2 linked regions of the Cricetulus griseus genome follow. The protein of the gene in region 2 interacts with the protein of the main gene of each other region in a biochemical or structural test. Links are inferred from orthologs where the notes say so. Each region holds a gene or a part of one and is shown on either strand. Other genes may lie near its edges. The genes, in order: Hnf1a and Dyrk1b.

The links.
Region 1: of the proteins of Dyrk1b (region 2) and Hnf1a, one has a biochemical effect on the other in vitro, tested with the Homo sapiens proteins (2 studies listed by IntAct, with this or other methods). The link is inferred for Cricetulus griseus from reciprocal best matches to the Homo sapiens genes DYRK1B and HNF1A.

The regions. Positions count from the first base shown.
Region 1 is NC_048597.1:94,534,352-94,545,101, forward strand, and holds part of Hnf1a (hepatocyte nuclear factor 1-alpha), read right to left. Parts: intron 10,477-10,750; coding exon 10,277-10,476; intron 7,720-10,276; coding exon 7,533-7,719; intron 6,746-7,532; coding exon 6,504-6,745; intron 5,233-6,503; coding exon 5,081-5,232; intron 4,976-5,080; coding exon 4,774-4,975; intron 3,948-4,773; coding exon 3,756-3,947; intron 2,285-3,755; coding exon 2,166-2,284; intron 2,106-2,165; coding exon 1,940-2,105; intron 366-1,939; coding exon 238-365; 3' UTR 1-237. UniProt on the Homo sapiens protein: Transcriptional activator that regulates the tissue specific expression of multiple genes, especially in pancreatic islet cells and in liver. Binds to the inverted palindrome 5'-GTTAATNATTAAC-3'.
Region 2 is NC_048602.1:7,908,729-7,918,331, forward strand, and holds the end of Dyrk1b (dual specificity tyrosine-phosphorylation-regulated kinase 1B), read right to left. Parts: intron 9,497-9,603; coding exon 9,377-9,496; intron 9,279-9,376; coding exon 9,090-9,278; intron 8,827-9,089; coding exon 8,679-8,826; intron 7,547-8,678; coding exon 7,260-7,546; intron 6,718-7,259; coding exon 6,571-6,717; intron 6,490-6,570; coding exon 6,349-6,489; intron 6,074-6,348; coding exon 5,758-6,073; intron 5,431-5,757; coding exon 5,324-5,430; intron 5,238-5,323; coding exon 4,866-5,237; 3' UTR 4,495-4,865; downstream 1-4,494.

The sequences.
Region 1 (10,750 bases), on a different chromosome or scaffold from region 2:
TTCAAGCCTTTGTGGTCCCCTTCTCAGGCTGAGACACCCTAGAGTCCTCCCTCTCTGACGCTGCTGGAGGAGCAGCCGTGGGATGAAAGCAGGGACTTATGGGAAGGCCAGCAGCCTATGGCAGGAGACACATGGCAGGCTCAGATGTGTCCAGGCAGCATGGCAGTGGCCTTTCTTGCCCCCTATGCAGGCAGTGCAGGCTCTGGGGACCCAGCGCCTGAGAGGCTGTCACCATGGTTACTGGGAGGAGGAGGCCATCTGGGTGGAGATAAAAGTCTCGATGACACCATGGTTGGATGGCAGCAGGTGGCTGTGCCCATTGGTGGAGTCGGAGCTCTGGTACAACACCAGGCTGCTGGAAGACACTGTAGAAGCAAATGTGGTCACCAGCTGTCGGCCAAGCCCCTCTGACCTCCATCCACCCCACCTGCCTGTCCCTAGGGATGCACCAGAGGGAGAAGACAGAGCCTCACTTTCTGAATCACAACAGATTCCAGGAGCCCAAGTCAGCCCTCTCCCTTCAGGGCCTACAGGGAGCCTCCTGGCTGCTGGGCTGAGTCAAACACTAACATGACTGTTACTGGAAAAGTTGGTTTGCTTTTGCATTACTGGGGATTGAACCCAGGCCCTCAGAAGGTTACTTTGTAGATGTGGTTAACAGTGGATTGGCAAAAATAAAGACAAAAACAAAACAAACAAACAAAAAAAACAAGGTGGTGGTGGTGCATGCCTTTAATACCAGCACTTGGGTGGCAGAGACCGGTGGATCTCTGTGAGTTCAAGACCAGCCTGGTCCACAAGAGCTAGTTCAAAGACAGCCTCCAAAGCCACAGAGAAACCCTGTCTCAAAAAACCAAACAAGAAAAGCCAGTGGATTGGCTTTCAGCAAAAAAAGAAGCTACCCTTGGCCACATGGACAGGCCACATCTAATCAGAAGGCTCTAACTAGAGAGAAAACTGAAGCTTCCTAGAGAAATTCTTCATTGAGACCACTGTTTCCTCCTGCCTGCCACTGTCCAGTGTGTCCCAGCCTGCCAATGTCCGGAGGGACAGGTGGCAGGTGTGCTCACAGCTGTGCCCCACAGTTCCCTATACAAAGTGTGAATGCTATCGACACTGTCTCGAGAGAGCCCAAACTGATGAAAGTGACAGAGGGTGAGCTCTGGGTCCGACCTGGCTGCCATCACACCTGTCTGTTCCCTCAACTCCTTGAGTGTGCATTTGTCCATCTGTACAGTGAGACAGTGTCTCCAGCAACTGCCGTTACAGCCCCAAGGGCCAGCTGGGGGATAGCAGCTTTCCTGAAGTCAAAAAATTGGGGATGGAGGACACCCCAGACCTCAGCCCAGCAACCTCCTTGACACTGTAGGCTGTAAGCTGAGGACAGGGGCTGAGGGTGCATGCATGTCTGCTGTAATGTAATAACATGAGTCCTCCCAGCTTCCCAGAGGAGCCAGAGAGCCAGACTCCTAGGTGAAAGTTGAGTTCTTTGGTTTTCATTGTTTTTTTGTTTTATTTTGTTTTGTTTGTTGTTTTTGGTTTTTCAAGACAGGCTTTCTTTCTGTAACAGCCCTGGCTGTCCTGGAACTCACTTTGTAGACCAGGCTGGTCTCAAAGAGAACCCCCTGCCTCTGCCTCCTGAGCGCTGGGATTAAAGGTGTGCACCACCACCGCCCAGCAAAAGCTGAATTTATAATGCTGGCTGCTCGTTCAAAGACTACATAGAACCCTGGGGAGATGGCATTGTGGGTAAGAATGCTTCAGGGTAGGTGAAAGGGTAAAATAGCTGATGACCTCAGTTCAATCCTTGGGACCCACATGGTGGAGAGAGAACCAACCTCTGACCTCCATTTGGGAAGCCCCACTCCCCCCCCCATCCACCCTCACTCCATCATTGAACACACCACCTTATCCTACTGGGAGACAGCAGATAGCTCACCGGTGGGACTGGTGCTGAGCCGGTGGGCCGGCTGCAGGTGCTGGATGCTCGATGGGTCCTGGCTGGGGATGTGGATGGTGGTGGCTGGAGACGATGGTTCATGAAGCCCAGGCTCACTGGAGCCCTCTGTGTCTGAGGTGAAGACCTGGAGAACCAGGGTAATGCCCTGAGCCCATGGCATAGAGGTATGGGGCTCCGGGCAGGGATTCAGGACACAGGGCCTTACCTGCTTGGTGGGCGTGAGGCTGGCAAGGGCACTGAGGTTGGTGTCTGTGATCAGCATGGTCTGCGGAAGCAGGCTTGTGTGTGTGTACTGGGCCACCTCAGGCTTGTGGCTGTAGAGGGCTGGGAGGAGAGGACACAGATATGGCTCAAGACTGAGCATCTGTGGGAAGTGGGCATGGGGCCTGATGTTACCGTGATGGGGTGGTGCTTGGGGATCCAGATAGGAGAGACAGACCCCCTATCTTCCCATTATAGAGGCCTGCTCAGCTAAGCCAGATTGGGAGCTGCAGGCGAAGGCCCAGCATCAACTCCAGCTCATTGTGTGTTTGTTCCCCCACTGCCCTAGATGGAATACAACCCAGATATGTATAAGCAAATGAGGAGCAGAGGCGCAGTGGGCCTGCACCAAATACAGGTGATGTATTAGACATGAATTCTGCTGCAGTAAACGTAGGTGGAACAAGTGCAGGTGCTGCCTAGTGCTGTGCTCAGTATGTTATACTAAGCAAAGGGACCACAGTAGCATGCACAGGTGCTGTAGCAGGATGTGCAGGTGCCATTGTACCAAAAGCAGGCCTCTGAATGAAAGACTGGTGGCCTCCATCTAGGTGAGCAGGGCAGAGACTAGCAATACCTCTATCTCCAGGACAACTCCAATATGAAACAAAGTTTCACCTGTAGACTTTCCAGGAGACTTGAATGCTCGCTCGCCTAGCACATAGTAATGGCATGCTCTTCTAGGAACTCAGCTAAAAGCAGGGCACCCACACAGAGATTCAGTTTCAGCCTCACACAAGTCCCCAAGTCCATAGCTCCTGTCTCTATGCTGAAGTCCAAAAGGCCTGAAGCCAAAGCATTGCATAAGTTTGGCCCCATGGCCCATTTGGTGGGCAGCCTTATGTGAGGCTCTGTGTGTGTGTGTGTGTGTGTGTGTGTGTGTGTGTGTGTGTGTGTGTGTGTGTGTGCCACCCTGTTTTTTGAGACAGCTCTCTCACTGGCCTGGAGCTCACCAAGAGGCTAGACTGGCTGGCATGGGCCCCAGGGATCATCAGTCAGTATCTACTTTGTCAGCTCTGGAGTTACAAGAAGCACACACTGCCATGCCCCGTGGCTTCTGAAGAATGTGTCTTCATGACTTTACTGACTGAGCTGTTTCCCCACAAACCCTGCATGAAATCTTTAATCTACTGCATGTAGTCCCATCTTTTATTTCAGGAATAACAGTGCTCTGTGGATAGGCGCTGCCCATGCTGTACTGGGAGTAATATGTAACACTTGATATATCCACTTTCTAAAAGTGGCAAAGTCATAAACTGAAGAGTGCATAGCCCCAAGGGTTTCAGATAATAGGCTGTGGCCTGCATCCCAGCACTCAGACAAACAAACCTGGGAACGTGACTGGTGGACACCAGCATTGCACACATTGAAAAGTTCACAAGAGCTCTTGTGCACATACAGAAGCAGGTTGGTGGCCCCTAGATACCTGCACCACACACAAGCAGACCACAGCACCTGCTACCTGCCCTGTCTTGAGCCTACCCACAGGCAACCTCTAACCCACCTCCCCTAGACCAATGTGAGGGATGCTCACCGTGGGGGCTCTGCAGCTGGGCCATGGTGGCCATGAAGGGGCTCTGGGCCACATGGCTCTGTACAGGGGGCATGAGTGGCTGCTGGTAGGAGGGGTGCAGTGGCTGGGAGAACTGGACCGGCTGCAGGGTAGTCAGGCTGCTGCCCATGCTGTTGATGACAGGCACACTCTGTGCCTGAGTGGAGGCCAGACCTAGTGTGGGACAGGCAGGAGTCAGCCAAGCCTCATACCTGCCACCCTGTGTCCTCCCTAGACCCAGCCCAGACCCTCTGAGGGACACTATTCCTCCTTCCCAGGGCTTGTGGATTAAAAGAGAGAGGGGGGCCGGGCGTTGGTGGCGCACACCTTTAATCCCAGCACTCAGGAGGCAGAGGCAGGTTGATCTCTGTGAGTTCGAGGCCAGCCTGGTCTCCAGAGCGAGTGCCAGGATAGGCTCCAAAGCTACACAAAGAAACCCTGTCTCCGGAAAAAAAAAAAAAAGAGGGAGGGGAGGGGCTGAGAAACAGCCCTGCAGTAGGAATGGCCATGAACATGAACTAGTGGCCTTTAGTTCCTCATCTGGCCTGGTGGGAAAGGCAAGCTGGGAGTAGATTAGAGGTTGTCAAGCTGGCTTCCCTGGAGCCCACAGCAGTGGCAAAGCTCCCGGGGCTTCACTCTCTGCTCCCCTCTTCTTAGCAGCTTCCTATGTTTTAGATATTGAGCAGTAGTTCCTGCATATAAAGGGTTTGCAACTTAAAAAAAAAAAAAGTCTAGAAAACATCACACACACACACCCTTACCCTGTGGTCTTCTCAGACTATGATTTCAGTGTATTTTCTACACTGTGCTTATTAGTTCTGTTTGATTCACTGTCTGGGATCATGGGTGCCTGGCCACAGGCACTCAAGTGTTGGATGGATGGATGATGGATGGATGGATGGATGGATGGATGGATGGATGGATGGATGAACCCCTGTGGCTCTTTCCAGATCCCAGACTGCAGGAGACACAGGGGTTCCCATCACCCCCACCTGCTTACCAATGACCAGGGTAGAGGCGCCTGTGTTAGTGAATGTGGGGCCCAGGGAGGCAGGCTCCCCAGGTCCAATGGTCATGACACCAGGCAGTGAAGCCATGATAAGGTTCTGCGGCTGCTGGTTGAGACCTGGAGATGTCTGCTCCAAGCTGTGCAGTGCTGTCAGGGTGCTGACTGGAGGCAGGGGACCCCCAGTGGCTGAGACCTGTGAGGGTAAGTCAAGTTGAGTTGGAATGTCCCCACACTGTCTCCTAGCCATAGAAAATGGGGCTAGGAGGGGATTCCACACAGGGTGGAGCGGCTCACTCACCAGCTTGGCCTCAGTGCTCAGCAGGCTGCTGCTGGGCTCCAGGCCTGTAGGGGACACTTGGTGTAAGGCTGCAGACACTGTCACTAAGGAACCACCGCTGCTAGAGGGCACCTCGGCTGCCTCACTGGTTGCAGGCTGTCCATACCGCACACCTAGAGTGGGGAGCAATATCTAGCCTCAGCACCCCACTTTCCTGTCCTCTTCTGTCCCACAGACCTCACCACACCAGAGCCTACTGTTTTTTTTTTTTTTTTTTTTTTTTTTGGCACCTCATCTTTCCTCCTGTGCTAGCTGCTTCCAGCTCTTTTAATTCATGGTCCTGTGTCCCCCACTGCCTGGTGTGTCCCCCTCTGTAGAAGACACTCAAAGAACAATGGGACTGAGCTGCATGTGGCTCATAAGAACTAAATGGAAATGAACTGAGTTGAGCAGAATGGACTGCAATTGGCCAAATTAAATTAAGTCTCCTTAAATGGGGCCAGAACTGAGTTGAACTAGATTGAGCTTTTGCTGATCTGATCAGAATCCAATTGAATTGGACTAAATTGAATTGAGCTTCACAGCCGGCCCCTTATCCACAGGTGCTGCAACCTCAGATTCAGTCAACTGCTGGATATTTGAAAAAGAAATTCCACATTTGCACTGATGGCATGCAGGTTTTTTTTCTTGTCACTAGTCCTCAGTCAGTGCAATATAACTGTCTACATTGTAATTACACTGCATTGGGTATCATAAGTCCTCCAGAAATGATTCAGTATACAGTAGGATGTGCATGGGTGAGAAGGAAAGACATAGGAGGTGCCTACAAGAGTCCTGGCTCCAATTCCCAGACACCAAGGGTGTACTATCCATAATGAACTGGATCCCAGGAATTAGTCTGCCAGACTGAATGGCTGGATTAGACCATGATCTGAACACGAGCTAGTTGAACGGAAACAGTTGGAATGGATAGGTCCCAAGTGGTTGTGTTGCACTGAAGTAACCGGAGGGCCAGTTGGGTTGACTACAGAGGGTGGGAGTAGCATGGATGCGGAGTTAGTGAGTGCGCAGAATGGCGTGAAGCAGTGTGGATCCCGCTGAATGAAGTGGATGGGGTGCACAGTGCGAACTGGAGTGAGGAGAGAGAGAGAGAGAGAGAGAGAGAGAGAGAGAGAGAGAGAGAGGAGGAGGAGGATGGAAGGAAGATTGTGGGAGGAAACAAAGCAGAAGGGGGGACATGGAGTGGACGAAGTAAGGTGGGTGTAGCGGGTGGGGGCTGCCGTGGAGCACAGACAGAATGAACAGAGTTAGTTAGGCACAGTGGAGCGGGGAGTACAGAGAATTTGGGGGTGGTTGCCACCACCAGGGAAATCCCTCCAGCCCTTCTGCCCACCCACTTTTTCTCCTTACTTCCTATCCCAACTTCCCTCCCCACAGTACTCACCGTGGACCTTACTGGGGGAGAGGGCAGATGTGGGCAGGCCAGGGGAGCTGTGAGCAGTCAGTGCAGGGCCTGGGCCTGGGCCTGGTGGGGGTCCATTGTATGTGTCCATGGCCAGCTTGTGCCGAAAGGCTTCTTCCTTGCGCCGGTTGGCAAACCAGTTGTAGACACGCACCTCCGTGACAAGGTTGGAGCCTAGCCCCTGTGCCTGTGATGGTGACACCCCCCTCTGGATGCACTCAGCCCTGCAAAGATGGTACCCATGAGCCTCCAGGCCAGGCTTGGAGGAGGGAGAACAGTGCTGAGAGGTGGAGTCCACCCAGGCCTGGATTACAATACTAGTCCTGATGGACAAGGGACTTTGCCTCTCCAACCTCAGTCACAATGTGAACAAAATATCCAGAGGGTTGTAGAGGAGATGATGGGAGATAAGTGACCCCCTAAAGTGTTGCTCGGATGGGTGGGGGAAGCTGAGAATCCAATTCAAAGCAATAGGAGGAACTGACTCCTCTCAATGGAGAGCAAGAGTTTGTTGCTAGAGTTTTCTTGTCCTGCTAGGTCCCTCGGCCCTTTGTCCTTCTGTATATATATTTCTCTGTATATATATATTGGTTGATGAATGAAATGCTGTTTGGCCAATAGAGGCAGGAAGATAGACGGGACTAGGAGACAAGGAGAATTCTGGGAAAGGTAGGCAGAGAGAGACCACAAAAGGGGATATCATATAGAGACCAGGAGGATAGGATACACCTTATCTGGTAAGATAAGACCATGTAGAAATACATAGATTAGTAGTTATGGGTTAATAATTAAGACAGAGCTAGCCAGTAAGAAGCCTGAGCCACCGGCCAATAGTTTTATAATTAATATCTGTGTGCTTATTTGGTGCTGAAGCGTGGTGGGACCAGGAGGGAAGGAAACTCTACCAACAAAAGTTCTCAAGGACTGGCCAGCTCCACCGGGGATACAGAGACACCTTCCCTTCCCTAAGACACCAGCTTAGCCTTAGCCCTGGCTAGCCCACCACCCTACCTATTGCACTCCTCCACCAAGGTCTCCCGCTCTTCCTTGCTGGGGTTCTTCTGCCTCTCATAGGCTTGGAACAGGATCTGCTGGGATGCTGGGCCCCACTTGAATCGGTTCCTCCTTCCCTTTTTGGTTGGCAGCTCATCACCCGTGGGCTCTTCGATCAGTCCCCCCTGCCCTGCGTGGGTGAATTCTGTCGGGACAGAGAGTGGTAAGTGGGGCATTGATCGTGTCCACCTTCACGGTCAGCTCACCTGACCAGTCCCCTTCCTCTGTCTTTCTGTTGCCAAAACAGAGCAGTTGGCAGCTAAAACTGAAATAATCTAATCTGGACTGGAGCTGTGAGTCATTTAGTGGAGAGCTTGCCTAGCATGCAGGAAGTCTTGAGGCTAACCCAAAGCCAAGGCCCACCTTCTGCTATAGGAGGACTTGGTGCTATAAATCCCAGCACTCAAGAGGCAGAGGCAGGCAGAGCTCTGTGAGTTCAAGGCCAGCCTGCTTTGCATACTGAATTCCAGGTCAGCTAGGTCTACACAGAGAGACCCTGTCTTAACAAATGAACAAAACAACAATTCATTAACTTGGCCTGGAGTACCACATTCTCCACAGCTGTGGCCTATTCACACCCACTCACATTGCCTCTGAGGTCACCATCTTAATTCTGTCCACAGGATGGCAGGAGCCACCAATCAGACCTGAGGTACCAGACACTGTGGCTTGACCTGAAACACTTTATTTTTAATATTTGTTGTGTGTGAGTGTCATGTGTATGTGGGTGCTGACAGAGGGCTGAAAAGGGTGTTTCAGATGACTGTAAAACACCTAATGTGGGTGCTGGGAATTGAACTTGAGTCCTCAGGAAGAGTAGCATTTGTTTTTTCTTGATACATCATCTCACTTTGTAATTCTGTCTGTCCTAGAACTTGGTATATAGATCAGGCTGGTCTCCAACTCACAGCTAGCCACCTGCCTCTGTCTCCCCAGTGCTGGGATTAAAAGCATGTGCCACCACCACTCGTGAATATATACTTCTTAAAGATGAATTCCAATAACTATATGATAAGATCAGTGTGATGAGTTACCAAAAAAAAAAATTAAACTTAAAAACACAATACAGCCAGGCAGTAGTGGTGCATGCCTTTAAACCCCAGCACTCAAGAGGCAAGTGGATCTCTGTGAGTTCAAGGCCAGCCTAGTCTACAGCATGAGTTCCAGGACAGCCAAGATTGCTGCACAGAGAAACCCTGTCTCGAAAACAACAACAACAAAAAAATACAAAAAAAAGACCAAAAAGAAAAGCACAATATAATACTACCATGTGTACAACATGGTTAAAAATGAGAAAGATGCACATTAACAAGTGTTGGACAAAGATTCTGAAGCACCTGGGATGCAGAGACCCTGCTGGTTGGAGTGCAAAACAACGATTGGGCAGGGTCTAATAAGACCCACTAAGTAGAATTGTGTGTACACCTTTAGCAAAAAGCCTGAGTGAAAATGTTCAGAGCAGTCCTATTCACAGGATCAAAAGATCAGAAGCAATCCAAAAAAGAATAATGTCAGCCAGGTGGTGGAAATGCACACCTTTAATCTGGGCACTCGGGAGGCAGAGGCAGGTGGATCTCTGTGAGTTCGAGACTATAGAGTGAGTGCCAGGACAGGCTCCAAAGCTACAGAGAGAAGCCCTGTCTCAAAAAAAAAAAAATAAAACAAAACAAAAAAAAAAACAAAATAAATAAAGTCCCTTAGTGAGTGGCTAGTTAAACAAATAACGATATCTCCCATTAACAGTCAACTATTAGAAACCTTAGAAAGAGTATACCAAGTTGAATGTAGTAGAACACACTTACCATCCTAGCACTTGGGAGTCTGAGTCAGCAAGATCACAGGTTCAAGACCAACCTGGGCTACATAGTGAGCCCCTGTCTCAGAAAGTAAACAGAGGGCTGGGAGCTTAGCTCTGTGCATGGTAGAGCACACATGTAACGTGTGTGAGGCTTTGTGTTTAATCACAAGTATCAGAGAGAGACATGTGGGGGTGGAGAGAAAAGCTCTTCAGTCTCTTAAGTCAGCAGTTCTCAACCAGTGGGTCACAACCCCACAGGGGCTTCATATCATAGATTTACATTATGATTCATAACAGTAGCAAAGTTAAAGTTATGAAGTAGCAATGAAGTAATTTTACGGTTGGGGTCACCACAAAATGTGGAATTGCATTAAAGGGTCGCTGAGTTAGGAAGGCTGAGAACCATTCCTTAAGTAATAGCGTCTGAGCTTCTCATGCTGTTCCCTCTTGATTGCGACACCCTCTTTATTCCTCCACAGGGACACTTTAGGACCTCAGCAATGGTCATGAATCTCACGGGACCATCCCAAAACCTCGGCTCTCTGAGACAGAGGAGCTTTCTCTCCCCTCCACAGCCTGCTCATCATTTTCCTCTGCACTAAGCCCAGCACACAGCAAGTGCTCAATTAATACTATGGCTGGGTTTTGTTGTTAGCATATGTAACCCACGCCTCACTCTATCATAGTGATCTCTCTCAGTTTCCCGGAACGAGAGATCCAGTAGGTGTATCTGTAGATCCCTGGGACCAATCCGGCTCCCTTCCCTTGGTGCCTTGCGCAGAGTGGGCAGTAAATTTGGGGACATCCTTCTGGCTCCCTCTCAGTCTCACTTGTCTGTACGATGGGGGTGGCGACATTCCCACCCCACCTGCCAGGGAGGACACAGGCTGGGGTCATTACTTACGCTGAGCCACCTCTCGCTGCTTGCGGACGTACCAGGTGTACAGAGCGGCCCGCTTCTGCGTCTTCATGGGGGTGCCCTTGTTCAGGTGCTGCGACAGGTGGGACTGGTTGAGACCCGTAGTGTCGACCACCTCCCGCTGCGGGATGTTGTGCTGCTGCAAATAGGACTTGACCATCTTTGCCACGCGCCATGGGTCCTCTCTGGAAGGGAGCAAGGACACGGTCTGCTCAGTGGCCCTTCCTGACACCTCAGGTGAGGCCGGGTCCCCAGGACTAGTGGAATAGGGCCCTGCTCTGTGGGTAGGACCTGTGCTCAGGTTCCATACTAGGACACATGTACACATGACCAGATTCCCACCGGAAGCTGTGCCAGCCAAATAGGGAAGACCTTTACCTATGACTCCTCAAAGTCCCTCCCCTCTTCTGGACTTGCTCACCAGTGTGGGTGTGTGCACATACATGCGTGCATATGCAC
Region 2 (9,603 bases):
TATTCTTATGCCCACTTCAATCTGCTCCACTCTGTCATCTCTCGGGGCTCTCACGTTAGCAATACGGTGACCATTCTCAAATGTGCCTCCCCCGCCTCTTCTTCACGGCCAGCGGCCAGCACGCTTCTCTCTCCCTCCTCTCAGGCTGCCTTGGACTTCTCACCTTGTGACCCACACTGGACCACTTGTCCTGCTACCTCTAGGGCCAAGTCACAGACATCAAAGCCAGCTGCAATGTCCCCCTGGCATGCTCCATGCCTCCGGCCACGTGGCTGTCAGAGGAGGCCCTTGAGCTCGTTATTGCTCACCACACTAGCTCAAAGGGACTGATGCTTTCCACGCTACTTGGCACCCAAGTCAAGTCCTCATCACAGCTGCTTGTGGACCCCTGCCCTTGTCCCCATCACTCCTGTCCAGTTTCTCTAACACACCAAGCATGCCTTGGGGCTTTGATCTGGCTTTATTTTCCTGACAGGGCTGTCTTTCCTTTAAGAATACACGGCTTCCCCCCTTTTGGCCTGGTCCTCTCACGTTTTTCTCCAGGTCATCCTTACAATTACTATCTCTGTCTCCAGCTCTCAGGGTCCATGGCTGTCGTCTCCCTTGGCCATGGACCCATGCTTTGAACGACAGGGGCACCCGTTTGCTGCTGTAGCACTGGGACCCCAACAGTGCTCACAAAGTGGTGCCTGCGACTGGATGAATCAACAAGCAGCCAACAGGACCCAGGACTCAACTAGGACATCGTGGCTTCCTAGTAACAGGAGGCTCCATCTGACTTGGCTCTACAGCCACCTGCTGGATTCCCTGTGAGCATCTCAGAAGCAAGCTGACTCCATGGCACTCCACCACCAAAGACGGATTGCTCTCCCCATCCTGCCCAGGAGATGGCCTAGAACAACACTCCTAGAAGCTGCTTAAGAATTCTTCTACTCACCAGCCCACCACCTCGTCAACATCTATGAAGACCTGAATTCTGACAAGCTCAGTGCTGATATTAACGCCTGAGAACTCAGGATGAACTCCAGGTACGGTGCCTTGCAACGCTTCAGTGACATCTCTGTGCTTTGATTCTTCATCCGGAGGGTGGGTACGACAATACTATTTAGCTGTGAGAATTCAATTAGTTATCCCATAATTACACAGTCTCACCACCGTGTGATTTTGAAAATGCTGCCTTACTTCAGTCAGCTTTTGCTGAGTAACAAATCATCCTCCAACGGTGTCATGAAATCTCAATTGTTTCTTTCATGATTCTGGAACATGGACACAGCTCAGGGAGAGTGGCCTGAGGAAGACTCAGGGTAGTGTCAGCTGGGCTAGAAGAGCCCCAGATGCCATGCACATAGCTGGCACAGCTCAAATGGGTGGGGCAGATGCTCGACCTCTCTCTATAACGGAGTCAGAGCACCAGGGGTGAACGGAGAGGCCGTCGAACCTGTGAAGGTCACTGGGCTCAGCGTCTCTTCTTGTGCTGATCAAATTACTGGCTCAGCCATTACTTAAGAGGAAGGAGATTCCCCATCTTGAGCAGAAACAGCAGAATGGGGACTGTCTTTAAAGGTAGCCATTATAACACCCATCAGTGGAACCTTTAAAAATATCTATCTAGGCCTGGGGAGATGGCTCAGTGGTTCTTCCTCAGGACCTGAGTTCAGTTCCTAGCACCCACAAAATGGTCCACAACTATCCCTAACTCCAGTTTTAGGCGACTGAATGCCCTCTTCTGACCTCTGTGGGCACCAGGCATGCTCATGGTGCAGACATACATACAGGCAAAATACTCACACACATAAAATAAATAAATCTAAACCAAACCAAACCAAAATCCCAACACAGCTAACCTTCCTCTCTGTCCCAGTGTTTAATTCTCCCACTACTCTCTGCAGTGGGGACGCTCGGTATGCTCCCTGTTCCAGCTCAGCCTCGAGGTGAAAATCACCACGTCCACACTCCTCTCTGAATAGAGCTGATGCTAACCCCATGGTCTGGAATCGCTTCCTTGGAGCCAGATTAGAAGTGCCTATCAAGTGTTCCTTCAATGCTCTTGATCCTGGTCACTTCTGTTGCTCATTGCTGTGCTATCTACCTGACTGAACCCCCACCTTGAGACTGAGTTCTTTACAGCAGGGATGCTATAGGGCTAGCCCTTCTTCTCTGCTGTGTCTCCACTTTGTGTACTGCAGAGGCAAAATACCTGTTGACTGTCTTGAGCTCTCGGAAATGAGCTCTCAGAGTTGTACGGAAGGGGGCGAGTAGAATCCCAGGAGGCTGGAATCCAGATCTACGCTCTGCAAGCGCTCATCTGATAGTGAGCCCTGCTACATGCCACATATCCTTCTGTGTGGGAGAGAAGCATAAAGTGACCCAAATGCTTGCTTCCAAGAAGTCCAAGGGCTCCCAGAACGGGAGGCAGGTGACAAGATAAATTCCAGCATGTGCCAGCGATATGACTGACATAAGGAAGATGTTGAAGGGAAAATGGACAGGGACATTAGCAGTATAATTCAGAAGAGTGGTCAATGGTCCAGGCAAAGAGAACACCAAGCACCAAGGCCCTGAGGCTAGTGTGCTGGAGGAGAGGCAGATGGTGAAGGCCCCGCAGGTCACAGGAAGGACTTGGGCTTTTACCCTGAGTGAGATGGAGTCCAGGAGGAGTCTCAGCAGGGAGGGACAATCAGGTGCTCAGAGTTTCTTTGGTTACATGGGGGGGGGGGGGGAGATGGTGATGGCAGGAAGACCAAGGAGGATGCCACGTATTCAGCTGTTTGAACTATGAGAGCACCTTGGAGATACCCAAGGAGGGGTCAGGTCGTCAGTCAGTCAGCCTGGAGCATGATTCTCAACCGCAGATACAAATGACATCCCAACATCCCAGGCTCATTCCATATTCCTCACAGGGCCTACAGGATCTGGACCTGCTGATGTCTCCAGGCTCAAATACACTTTGTTAAATCAATGACTGGCACACACACACACACACACACACACACACACACACACACACACACACACACACACACACCACACACACACACACACACACACACACCCCAACCTGAGCCTACTTCCTAGTCGTGTGATCCTAGGCAAGTAATTTAACTTCCATCTGCCTTCACTATCCCCAAACCTGGAGAGGTCACTGTAGTCCCTGGCTTCTAGAACTGTTCATTCAAAGTCTTCTTCCTGGGAGGCTGGGTTGTAGAACACTTTGCCTAACATCTGGGATTTCCTGGGTTCCATCCCCAGCACTACAAAAACACATAAAAAACCAAACCAAACCAAACCGAGACTACCAACGGGGGCACGGGGGCACGGGGGCACGGGGGCGCTCTCTATGTGTTGGGGACCTTCCTTCCCCGCCCCTCTCTACCTCATCCCTCCACTCAGCCTGTCCACCCAGTCGTCTGGAAAGCTCACCTGTCCTTTCCTGGCCTTCTCAGCCCCGTCCCTGCCCTGTCACATCCTAGGGGGCCTGCCACAAGACGCCAGACCCGAGTCTTTTTCTGCAACCTGCTTCCATATTTTCAGAAAGACCAGACTATCCATCTTCCTCTCATTGTGCCTCACAATGAGAGGACTTCCAACAAGTCCAGCTCTCTAGATAACCAAAGATACCCGATAAACCCTAACCGGCATTCTCAAAATGATCGATCACCAGGACTTAGCTCACCGCGGCCCCGCCCCGCCCCGCCCAGGCCCTGCAAAGCGGGCTGACCACGCCCCTACTCCTCCCCGGCGTGTCATCCAATCGCCGCCCTTCCTACTGACCCGCCCACATCCGGGCCCTAATGCCCGACAGCTCATCGAACACCAGTCCCCAACCATGTGCGCAGAGACTTCTGGGCTTTGTAGTTCCCCAAGAAAAGTGAGCAAAGAGCCGGTCTTGTAGAACTCCATCTCCCAGGAGTCACCGCGCCTGCCCGTTGTAAGCGCTCTTAACAGTTTGAATCAGGTAGTTCTTGCAAGACTGGGTGGGAAGACAGCTGGTTCCAAATTGCCATGAAACAAAAATCACTTACCTGGAAGTCAGGGAGCGTCTTTTTGCCCGAGAATCTCAATATTCTGCAATGACTCCAGAATGGGACTGGATACAGGTGGGGTAAAATCTGTCCCCATAGCCTCTCTGGATAGTAACCAAGGAAGGCCTGTAGAGTATACCCAGAGCCTACTGGGTGCCTGCCCGACACAAAAAAGCCATTCCTGGGTGGACTCTATGGGAGCCCTGGCAGATGAGGGCAGAACATTACAATTTCCAGCAACAGGCCAGAAAGGGACCTTTTTACCCCGGAAAAGGCAGATGTGGGCTAGGATTCTTGTACCCAGGATGTGTCTATGGTTCTACAGCCCGCCAACCTCCTGCTGCCCCATGCCTGCACCAAGAAGGATGATGTCCCCAGGAGGGCCAATACCCACACCACAAAGCACCCTTCCCCACCATGCCTCTGAGGGTCAGGAGAGGGAGCCAAGGCCCTGCAAACGCTCAGGCAGGCATGTGAGAAAGCTCTTTACTGGGGGGTACAGCAAGGAGGAGCAAGGCCATCTCCCCCTACCTGCCCCCACCCCCTCCTAGGGTCCTGGGGTGAGGGGGAATCTCCCCCTCTACCGGACCACCACTGTCTTTGGTACAATAAATAGAAAACAAGGGAGGAGAGGGGGCCAAGGGTCCAGTCTTAGTGGGGAGGGCGTGGCCAAAACCCCTCTCCCTTGACCCCCTGCCCTGGGCCCCAATCAGTGCAGGCCTCACCCACCCCAGCTGGGTAGCAGCAAGTCCAGTCAAGGGGAGAGATGAGGATGGGAGCCTAGGGCCCCCAGATGGGGGGAGGGGGTATGGCTTCAGGAGGGGCCCCAGGGAGGGGGCAGGGTCATGAGCTGGCTGCTGTGCTCTGGGGTACACCGTGGAGGCTCAGGCGAGGCCCTAGAGTGGCAGGGTCATCCGGGGGTGGGAGAGGTGGTCGACCTCCCGTCATCCGAGTCCGGAGTGATGAGGCAGCCGGGTGCTGGGGGGCAGGTGCTGGATGAGGTGGGGAGCAGTCTGGAGGGCTGCCCACCAGGCTCACATCCATCAGCTCCGGGGGTGGTGGTGACGTTGGCGATGCGGGACGTCCAAGGCATCGGGGTTGAGGGAGTAACTGGGCCCCAGTCCCTGGCAATGTCGAGGCAGAGGTAGGGGCTTGATGTGTCTTGTGGGGCACATCACCCCCTGCCCAGGGGCGCAGAGGCTGGGAGGGTATAACCTTAAAAAAACAAAAAACCGAAGGATGTTAAGGTCCTGAAGTGTTAAGCGCCTGCCACCCACCTCCAAGGTTTCAAGCTCTAGTACCTGGGGGCTGTTCATCTCACAGTCGGTGATGGGGGGCCCAGGTCCCCCACAATATCGGTTGCTGTAGCGGTAGGCCCTGTTGTCACTGGAGGAGCCACTGGAGCCTCCTGGAAGCACCGGGAAGGAGAAAAGAGGGCAGTGGCGGTAAGATGCAGGCAGTCTGCTCAACATCTAGGCGCCATGCTGGGACTCTGAGGCCAGAGCTGGTTTGAAGGCTCTAACAGCCTGATTTTGAGATCTTGGGTCAGAGTTGTGTGGGAGGCTAGAGGCAGCTTTAGGGGCTGACTCTCAAGCCTGGATCACGTGGGACTGTCCCACCCCACCTCACCCTGCAGCTCAGAATCTGGTAGCTTAGCTCTAAGGCTCTAGGACAGAGGCCCAGCGGGAGGTATCCCAGGCTGGGCCCTGCGGCACACGTGACAGTGGGCACCCACCAGAGCTGGAGATGGAGCTGGCGGTGCTAGAGGAGGGGCAGGTGTCGAGGGGTGCGGGCGAGGTGGAGGCACTGCTGCCTGCCGGGCCCGTGTTGGTGGCCTCGTCGGCCGTGCGGCGGAAGAAGCCGTGCTGCAGAGCGCCCAGAGGGCTGATGCGGGCGGCGGGCTCATACTCCAGCATGCGCAGCACCAGGTCCTGGAAGCGGAGGTAGTCGGCGGGGCTGTGGCCCGGCTCCCCCGCCCGCCGGCCCCCGGGCCCGCCCGTCTGCACGCCCAGCACCTCCTGCAGCCGCCGTGTCCCGGGGCCCTGGTAATCCTGGCAGGGAGGGGGTGGGAGGGGGGGCAAGAGAGTGGCCGTCAGTGGGCAGGAGGGGCAGGGAGACACACACGGGGAAACAGAGGCACAAGAGAGCAAGAGAGAAGCTAACAAGAGCTGTGGGGTGGGACGGTGACGGGATAGGCAGGGGAGGAAGCAAAGGACAGACAAGGGGTGGGGGAGAAAGACAGGGAAAGACGCAGGGAGAGGGGAGCCCCAAGTGTGAGTGAGGGGCCACCCAGGGAGGGAGAAGTGGCACAGGGCAGGGGCCGCACCTTCCTGAGTTCCTTTGTCCTTCGTAGGGTCCAGCCGCCCCCAGGCAGCCGCTCAAAGTACTTGCGAGCCTTGGGTGCCTGTTCCAGCATGGGCGCGGGCGGGATGCCCAACACCTCGACAATGCGGCTCATCTGGTCCACCTGCGGGCAGGTGGCGGTCAGGGGCGCCGGGCGGCCAGGCTCCACCCCTCCACCTCCAGCACACCCCTTCCAGGGGCACACCTCATTGGAGCCGCTGAAGAGGGGCTCTCCGGTGTGCATCTCCACAAGGATGCAGCCCAGGGACCACATGTCGATGGCCAGGTCATAGGGTGTGCCCAGGAGCACCTCGGGGGAACGGTAGAAGCGGCTCTGGATGTACTGGTAGATCTGGGGAAGGGGACAGGAGTCAGGGCACTGGCTCCCCTGCTGGTTCCCCCGGGACACTCAACTGAAGACAAGCCCCTGCTCGAACACAGGATGGAGCCTCTAGATTCTCAGCAATGCTGCACAAACCAGTCGCTGTCCTGCTCATCAGCTTCCAGTCTTCATTGGCCTGCTTTAACCCTGCCTCTGCTCCCAGCTCTGGTCCCTGCTGTTTAGGAGAGGCTGGCCATCCCATACTGAACTACTACTAGTAGTGAGTGACCCCTCTGCCTGCTCACACAAGGCTGCACGAATTCAAGGTCTCTACCTGTGACCTGAAGAGCACAAGTCCGCAAAGCAGAGTTCAGGCTCTGCTCTGGGGGTCACCCTTTCTCTTCCTTGCTTGAGTCTCCTCTGCCCTCTTCATCTCTGCTCCCCTCCCTTCAGACCGGCCTCCCTATGCCCAATGTCATCTCTCAGCTTCTCATCAGCTTCCAGGGTCAAAACCAAGCTGTCCTATCCCATTCCACCCAAAACACGGGCCCTGCCCAGAGTCGGAGCCGCACCCGCTGGCCAAGCTGACAGGAGCTGCCAAAGTCCACGATCTTGATGGCACTGCGCTTAGGATTGCAGAGCAGGATGTTCTCGGGCTTGAGGTCGCAGTGGATGATGCTGAGCTCGGGCGTGGCCAGAAAGAGCAGCGCTGTGCAGAGCTGCTGCGCCAGCTTCCGGGTCAGGTTCAGAGAGACACCGCGGAAGTGTGTGTTGCGCAGGAGGTCGTACAGGTTGTAGGACAGCAGCTCAAACACCAGGCACAGATGATTTCGAAACATGAAGTGCCGCTTCAGGTGCACTGTGGGGGACAGCAGGCCACAGATGAGAAACAGGCGAGAGGACAGGCGGCCCAGGGCCACACGGTAACCGCCTCTGCTAAACTGCAGCGAGCCCTCAGGTGTCTGTGCATCGGACTCGCAAAGCATGCTAAATCTCTTGAGGCTCTCAGACCTTCCACTTGTCACCAAAAGGAAGGTTTCTGCCAGCGGGGAATAGTAAGCATGACTGTGTAATGCCAGCGCTTGGGAAGCTAAATGGGAAGATGACGAGTTCAGGGCCAGCTTGGTACACAGTGAAGCCAAAAAAAAAAAAACAAAACAAAGGGTAGAGTAACCTTAGGGTTACGCTGGCATAGGCTAAGGGATGGCCAAAGGGTGGGAGCCTGTTTGCCTAGCAAACACAAGGCTCTGGGTTCAAGCCTCAGCCCAGCATAGGGAAATAAAATGCAGTTATCTCCTAATAGAGCTTCAAAGCAATCCCAGGCTTCCTCATTTCATTCATAACACCGAGCCAGGCCTGGTGTGCGGGCATGAAGACCAAGGTCTTCAGATGGGGATGAGGAAGAGCATGAACCCAAGGCTTGTCAGGTAACTCTGTCTCAAAATACCTAAGTAAAAAGAGGTCCAGAGGCGCAGTTCTGGGGAGAAGCACTTGCCTACTATACATGAAGCACTGGGCTTGATCCCCAGTATGGCAAAACAAAACCCCAAGAAGTGGCACCACCAACAAAAACCCAAATGAACAAACGAATCTGCTTTCCTTTTAGCTGTATCTGTCTTTGTGGCAAGCGACACTGGCTGTCCTTTTAAGCCATTTGTCAGTCCCTTTCCAGAGGACACATCTCTAATTCTGTTCTGTATAAACTGTCCCCTCATGTACGTGACAGCACTGAGTGCCTCACTTTCCTATCTCTAACGTGCACAGAACTGCCCTCTCCCTCACTGGGCTGGCGTGAGGTAATTCACAGGAAATGTTTGCAGCAGTCTGGCCCTTAGCGAGCACTGGATAAACACTGACCACTGTTAAATAAGCACAGAAGAAGAGTCATGACCACAGCAGGAGACCCCCTGAGGCGGAGGAGCCTGAAGAGCCACCCTTATTGGCGCTATCTCCACACAGGCGCCCTGCGCTCACCCAGGGGCAGGCCTCACCTATGTAGTACTTCATCTCTGTGTCATGCTGGTTCATCAGCTCCAGCAACCGCAGCTCAATCTGTGCCTGGTTCAGGAAGGCCTTTTTGTTTTTGATGATCTTGATGGCCACCAGCTCCTGGGTCTGGTGATCATAGGCTTTCACCACCTGTCGAGACATGGAGAGTTACCCGGGGAGGTGGGAGGCCCACCTGACACTCAGCCCAGCACTCACAGCCCTCCTACTGGATACAAAATTGTGAGTTCCCTAGTGTGGAGTCTTCTTATTTACACTTCCACAGAAACTGAGACAGAGGGAAACTGAATGGCTTGAGAGACTGGCCCAGGACAGAACTCTGGGGGTGGAGGGAATGTGGGTAGGGTTAGTGGCTGTCTGCACCCAGACACTGGATGAGTGGGGGAGTCCCACACCTGGCCAAAGGAGCCTTTGCCAATAAGAGAGTCAATCTCATAGCGCTCCAGCCAGCGCTCGCCACTGCGCACAATGTAGTCGTGGTTGTCGTCGTCATAACCGTGGTTCAGGACCTTCTTCTCCTTTTTGGTGCTCGAGTCCTGGGGTGGCGCCTGTTGGGCCCGCCGCTTCTTCTTCGCATAGTATACCTGCTCAGGCGGCCAGGAAAACGGACCCTTGAGTGACCTTGGCAAGCAGCCAGGACTCTCTTCAGCACCCAGCCGGGGGAATCCCCCGCTGCACCCACCTCATTGATGTGCTTGTAGGTCTTGATGAGGTCCACTGAGAGCTTGCGCAGCGGGGCTGAGGTTGCGTCCCGGAAGGCCAGGGGCAGTCTCCGAGGAAGTAGCCGCACATCAGGCAATACCTGTGGGGGACAGGGGCAGACACAGAGCACCTTCACCTCCAGCCTCCAGGGAGAGAAGGAAGGGTAAAGCCGATGGCTGTTTGGCCATACCCACATTTACCTAGCTC